2 linked regions of the Oryctolagus cuniculus genome follow. The protein of the gene in region 1 purifies or fractionates together with the protein of each later gene. This does not show direct contact. Links are inferred from orthologs where the notes say so. Each region holds a gene or a part of one and is shown on either strand. Other genes may lie near its edges.

Region 1 (4,077 bases):
AAATGTCTCAGCTCTGGGGAGATCAGACCAAAGCAAGATGACCTAGGCAGAGCCCCTGTATCCAAGTCTGTCATAAGCTACACTGGGCCCAGCTCACACTCAGGACAAAGAACCCCACAGCACATTCCCGCAAGTGCAGACACGGCTGCTGGCTCCACCCTCAGCCACAGGCCCAGGTACACCGCTGACGTCAGGACCTCTCCTCAGGCCCGGTCCCACCAGTTTTCTCGTTCCCACTCACACATACGACTTCCCACTCCATCCACGCACCACGCCTGCTCAGCCCTCATTGCAGACTTCATTGTTCTTCCCACCACGGTCAAGCCCTCACGTGTCATTTGCTATAGCTGCTCCAGAACCTGCATTAAGTTCCTGGTGCTGGCCTATGGCCTACAGCTGTGTTGCCCAACACAGTGGTTATTTAAACCCGAATTAAAGTTTTAAAAATTAAAAATTCAGGGCTGGGGCTGGGGCTGGGGCTGGCGCTGTGGCATAGCGGGTAGAGCCACCACCTGCGGTGCTGGCATCCCACATGGGCAGCAGTTTGAGTCCCAGCTACTCCACTTCCAACCCAGCTCTGTGCTATGGCCTGGGAAAGCAGAAGATACCCCAAGTCGCTGGGCCCCTGCACCTGTGTGGGAGACCCAGAAGAAGCTCCAGGCTCCTGGCTTTGGGGAGTGAACCAGCAGATGGAAGACCTCTCTCCCTCTCTCTCTGTCACTCTCTTTAACTCTTTCAAATAAATAAATAAATCTTTAAAAAAAAATTCGGGGCCATTGCTGTAGCACACCACGTTAACCCGCTGCTCGCAACGCAAGTATCTCATATAAGAGTACAGGTGCAAGACCAGGTTACTCTCTCTTTTTTTTTTTTTTTTTTTTTTGACAGGCAGAGTGGACAGTGAGAGAGAGAGACAGAGAGAAAGGTCTTCCTTTGCCGTTGGTTCACCCTCCAATGGCTGCCGCGGCCAGTGCGCTGCGGCCGGCGCACCATGCTGATCCGATGGCAGGAGCCAGGTGCTTCTCCTGGTCTCCCATGGGGTGCAGGGCCCAAGCACTTGGGCCATCCTCCACTGCACTCCCTGGCCACAGCAGAGAGCTGGCCTGGAAGAGGGGCAACCAGGACAGAATCCAGCGCCCCAACCAGGACTAGAACCCAGTGTGCCGGCACTGCAGGTGGAGGATTAGCCTAGTGAGCCGCGGCACCAGCCTTCAAACATAAATCTTTTTTAAAAATTAAAAACGTGGGCCTAGCCTTGTGGCACAGCAGGTCAAGCCACCACCTGCAATGCTGGCATCCGTGTGAGTGCAGGTTTGAATCCAGCAGTTGCACTTACCGTTCCGTTCCCTGCTAATGCGCCTGGGAAAGCTGCGGAAGATGACCCAAGCATTTGGGTCCCTGCTGCCCCGTGGGGGAGACCTGGATGAAGCTTCTGGCTTCAGCCTGGTCCAGCCCTAGCTGTTTCGGCCATTTGGGGAGTGAACCAGTGGACGGAAGATCTCTCTTTTCTGTCTTTCAAATAAGTAAACCAATCTTTTAAACAAAATTAAAAATTCAGTTGCTCAATTAGCCCCACTTCAAGGGCTCAGCGACCACATGTAGCTAATGGCTGCCATGCCGGACAGCACAGCTGGAGCGCATCTCTGCCATCACACAAAGTTCTAGCCGCTCCCTTCTAGAGCTCGGCCCTCCGGCACAGCCTTAGCCCAGTCTCTTATCTCACCCCAAACAGGCCCTCTGCTACCCTCACGAACCCTCGCCTCCCCGCACCACCCTTGCCTGCTGGGTGATTCTCCCGCCCTGCCACCCATCTGCGGACCCTCGGCGGGCGTCCACGATTAGAGCCCCGCCTCCTCTCACACCAGAGTAGCTGTAGGAATGATCTGACGCGGTCACTCCCTGACCAGCAAACCTTGCAGACACCCCCCACCCACCCACCCACTCCAGCTGTCAGGCGCTGAGGACCCAGGTGAAAGGCGGACCCTGCCCCTGTCCGAGGACTCCTTGCCACGGCAATCCTGCCCAGTCCCGCCAAAGGACTCCGTCTCGGAGTCCAAGGACGCCGAGGGCAGCAGCGCACGGCTCCCCCAAGTCGCCCCCGTCTAGCCCCAAGCTCCAGAAGACCTGCCAGGACAGCACCCGCCCGGAGTCCCGCACCACAGGCCGCCATTCCACGCGCGGCGGGCGCCCTGGCACTGGACATGCCTGGGCCGCGAGGGGAGCCACGGGGACCCGCCCCGCTCAGAGCCCGGCCTCCCCTCACTCACCCCCAGCCTCGGCCGCCGCGACCGGCTCACAACATCCGCCCAGCCTCTCAGCTACGGCGCCCGTCCAGGGCCAAGCCGCGCACCCAATCGCGCGCCGCCGTCCGCGCACGCGCACCGGCCCGCGACCGGCCTCCGCCGGGGAGCCCGGTTCCGTGGCCACCTGCCGGGTCTTCCTGGCGTTGGCTTCCCGAGAGGGTCCACCTGCTTCTGACCCCTGCGTGCCCTGGGGCGCTCCTAGCCCACACGCGATTTCCCATCGGGGACCCTAGACCACCTGTCAACTCCTACCTGACCCAGATGTCCCCCAGCCCGTCTGAAAGGCCCCGCAGCAGGAGTTCCGCTGCCTGTCACCCCCCTCCCCTATTTAAGGCCAGCGCGTGCCCTTACTCACCTTCGCAAGATGAGGCTTCTGGCAGGTGGCGTGGGCCTCCCTGGGTTCGGCTGCCAGGGGCGTGGCCTGACTTGCCTACAGCTGGGGCAGATAAGGCACCAAAAGGGGGTGGCCGTGCTGCGGTTGGGGCAGGCAATGTTCCCCACATCACAGGGGAAAACTGAGGCTCGGAAAATGTTCACGTTACCAGGCAGGGGCTGGAACCCAGGCCTCTGGCAGCTGCCATGTCCACAGGTTCTCTGGCAGTCTAGGCTTGTCCACCCCTGGTCTGTGGCACCTCAAGTGTCCTCACTTCCTGATACCTGCCCACTACATAGAGAGGCCTCTTAGGGGCCTAGCTGTGTCAGGATGAGGCTTCTGCATCTGACTCACGGAGCCTGAGGCCTGGGCCCTACTGGCTCCTGCCACAGGGTCTCTCTGGCCGTGGGGGCGTGGGCCTCGAGCCACCCAATCCCGAAGGGACAGGTTTCACAACTTCCCGGATGGGGCTGTGGTGGGTCACAGTGCAGCCTCCAGCAGGCAGGATGAGGTGGCTCCCACTGTTGCTGCTTCTGACGTGGTGCTCAGGGGCCCCTGGTGAGTGCCCCCTTCCCCGATCCCTGTCTGCATTCAGGAGGAGGTTGGCCTCGGGCCCACGCTAACCTGACCACGAGGTCAGTTCCCGGCTGGGCATGGCCAGGTGTCCTTGACTTCTTGCAGGGAGCTGGGAAGCCCTGGGAACGCACAGCCACGGTGTCGCTGAGGCCTCCATCTGCTGCAGCACTGAGGCAGTGCTGGGACCAGAGGCACCCACACAGCAGGCAGAGACCGCCCCTGAGCCTGCTCTCCCCTCTAACCTAGCAGGTGCCATTGTGCTCCTGACAGCCCAGACACAAAGTGAGACTGCCTAGGCTGGGTGCCCGCCGGAGGCACCAGGGTTCTGAGCTTTAGCATTCTCCTTTAAGAGATGAAATGGGACGAGCTTTATAGAGCAAGCCCCATCACCCAGTGCTGCCACGGAGTGCACATGTTACACCTGAGCCCGGTGCCTACTGGGAACCACTGTGTCTGGGCCTGCCTCTCCCACCCTATGCAGGGGGCGCTGAGCTGGCCCTGAGAGTGCACACAGGACCCATCTTGTATCTTTGATCCCCTGAACGGACAGTGTGGGGTCATGCCAGTACACACACCGTGACTCACGCTATGACATGTGCTCCCACCTGCCCTGTGCCCACCACTGTTGGCCACCCTGCAGGGCAGCGGTCAGCACTGAACGACTTCCAAGTGCTCCGGGGCACAGAACTGCAGCACCTTCTCCATGCAGTGGTGCCTGGGCCTTGGCAGGAAGATGTGGCAAACGCTGAGGAGTGTGCTGGGCGCTGCCAGCCCCTACTGGACTGCCGGTGGGTGACCAAGGGACCCAGATGAGTCCAGGCGCAT
Region 2 (2,534 bases), on another chromosome or scaffold:
GTGCAGGTCCAGGGCGGGGGGGGGGGGCACTGTGCAGGTCCAGGGCGGGGTGGGGCGGGGGGCACCAGGCAGGTCCAGGGCGGGGCGCCCCCCCCCCATACTCACGGCGGCACTCTGCTGGTTGTTGTTCACGCGCAAGGCGTCCAGCACCTCCTTCTCATCGAAGCCCATCTCCATGAGGGAGACCACGGCCTGGGGGGCACGGGGCGTCAGGAGCAGCAGGCACCTCGCCCTCCGCCAGCGGGCCCCACACGCGCGTCTCCACCCAGGGCCCAGCACAGCCGGGGACTCCTGCCAGGTCACGGTCCAGCCTCCGCGAAGCCAACCCTGCTCCCGTCTCTCAGGCCAGGAGGCGGTGCCCTGGCAGGGGGGCAGGGGGACAGCAGGCGTCCACTCCGCCCCCTCGGCCGAGCCAGGGTGACCCTCACTGCACTATCTCCAGCCTCGCCCTGGCTCACAAACCAGAGGGTGGAGGGCCGAGCTGCCACCCTCAGGCCTGACCCCTTTCCCGGCAACTCAACGCGAGAGGCGTAGGCCCTAGGCAAGAGTGAAAGCTGGTTGTCTCAGAAGGTTCGGATGGTGACAGGAGACGGCAGTAGCCAGGGGCACACCACGAGGACCACGCCGGGTTCAGAGCAGCACACGCAACCAAGGGCACGGGGACCCCGCCAGGCTGCGATGAGACAGGCGGGCTGCCAGACACGGAGGAGACACAGCACGGGCCGGGGTCTCCAAGGGCCAGGGCCTGAGGGTGGGGCCCAACGTCCCCACACACGCGAAGGCGGCCCTCGCCCCCAGGTGGCGGGCAGGCACTGACGTGGAAGGCCGGGACGGATGTGGGCAGGCGCGGGGACAGCCCGCTCTCCGCAGCCCTCAGGGCCCAGGACGGCCGACACCGGCTCCGGGCTGGGGCCTGCTCAGCTCTGCCGGAGCAGACCGGGCTCCTCGGGTCCCACAGGACCCCCGGGGACACACGAAGGCCTCGGCAGAGGTCATGGTGAGACGCACGCCCTGCGAAGCCACCTGCACGCCACAGCAGGGTCAGAGGCGGCAGAAACCGTCCAGAACCTGCCCGGCCGTGGGCGGGAGGCCTGTGCCGTGCAGGTGCCTGCCACCGCCTCCCAGGAGCAGGAGAGACATGCACTGCCCCTTAAGGGGAGCTCTGGACCTTGGGGCACTGCCGGAAGAGGGGTAGAGGCCCCCAGCTGGCCTCTCCCGCAGACAGGCCGCCTCCCCAGTGGTGCGTCTCCCTCCTCCCACTCGCCGCGCACAGGCCACAGGCACATCCGTTTTGCTAAACCTAAGTCGGCGCGTGTGCCCCCCTAAAAGAAATCCAGGGGCCGGCTCCTGGCACAGAGGGTGGAGCCGCCGCCTGCGACACCGGCATCCCATGTCTCTGCTCCAGCTCCCAGCTGATGGCCTGGGAAAGAGCGGAAGACGGCCCAAGTGGTCCGGACCCGCACCCATGTGGGAGACCCGGATGGCGCTCCTGGCTCTGGCCCAGCCCTGGCCGCTGCAGTCACTGGGGAGTGAACCAGGGGATGGAAGACCCCTCCCTCTCTCCCTTCCCCCCCTCCCCCTCCCCTCCCCCTCCTTCTCTCTCTCCCCTCCCTCCCCTCTCTCCCCTCCCTCCCTCTCTCTCCTCTGAAAACTCTGCTTTTCAAATAAACAAACAACTCCTTGAAAACAGGAAAGAAAAACAAGGCCCACTGCCCAGCTCTGGCTTGCACGCGGCTGCCTGCAGGCTGCCCACCCCCCGCGGCTGCACAGACTCCCGCCCTGACCGTTCCCGACCATCACAAACGCCAGGGAGGGGTCGGAGCCCTGATCAACGACGGGGCCTGCGGAGACAGAGCCGGCGAGGGCGCTGAGGGCCACGGGCGCTCCAGTCACCCGCCCTGGCCAGGCGCTGACCCCTGCAGACGCCTCACAAGACAGGCAGCCCCGCAGGACGACCCTGCAGCTCTGCTCAAGGGCCCCGCCCACAACAGGTGCAGCTCAGGGGCACGCGGAGGACGGGACGCGCAGGCTGCCTGACCACACAGAGGCAGCTCAGCCCCCGGGCTCCCAGCGAGGATGCCCACAAGGGACGTGGCCATGCCAGCGGGGCCCGGCCTGTCTGACCTCCCTCCCTGGCTCCCGGCTCGCGGGCTCAGCAGGCGTCAGCAGCGCACCCAAGCTTCCCGATACAACGCGGCCTCCGGGGACGGCGGCGGCGGCCACGCGGGCGCCGCCCCACGCACCCGAGCGTCCGCCCGGAACTCCCTTCTCCTCCGAATCCTCTGGAAGACCTCCGTCAGCTCGTCTCTGGCCTCCTCGTCCTCGGCGCCCCCTTCAGCAGCTCCGGGCGAGGCCTGGCCCGGCAGAGGCGCGTCTATGGTGGGGTCTTCCGCGTGCTCGATCAGCCACTCCATGGCCTGCGGCACGGACATGCTGCAAGGGAGCGAGACGCCGTCCCAGCACCGCCAGGCCCTCACGGCCCTGCGCCCGGGAGACGCCTCCACCCCAGGACCCCTCAGCCGCCGCCCAACACA

Evidence for each region. The genes of interacting proteins can lie anywhere in the genome.
Region 2: the proteins of RNF123 (region 1) and UBAC1 purify together in Homo sapiens (affinity purification with mass spectrometry; 7 studies listed by BioGRID and IntAct, counting the BioPlex papers as one, with this or other methods). This does not show direct contact. The link is inferred for Oryctolagus cuniculus from reciprocal best matches to the Homo sapiens genes RNF123 and UBAC1.

What each region holds. Positions count from the first base shown.
Region 1 is NC_091441.1:99,575,487-99,579,563, forward strand, and holds the start of RNF123 (E3 ubiquitin-protein ligase RNF123), read right to left. Parts: upstream 2,801-4,077; 5' UTR 2,659-2,800; intron 2,365-2,658; exon of another isoform or gene 2,268-2,364; intron 1,855-2,267; exon of another isoform or gene 1,337-1,854; intron 1-1,336. Other genes in the region: MST1 (hepatocyte growth factor-like protein), read left to right, coding at 3,141-3,234, 3,893-4,040. UniProt on the Homo sapiens protein: Catalytic subunit of the KPC complex that acts as E3 ubiquitin-protein ligase. Promotes the ubiquitination and proteasome-mediated degradation of CDKN1B which is the cyclin-dependent kinase inhibitor at the G0-G1 transition of the cell cycle.
Region 2 is NC_091432.1:236,908,174-236,910,707, reverse strand, and holds part of UBAC1 (ubiquitin-associated domain-containing protein 1), read right to left. Parts: intron 2,434-2,534; coding exon 2,244-2,433; intron 193-2,243; coding exon 106-192; intron 1-105.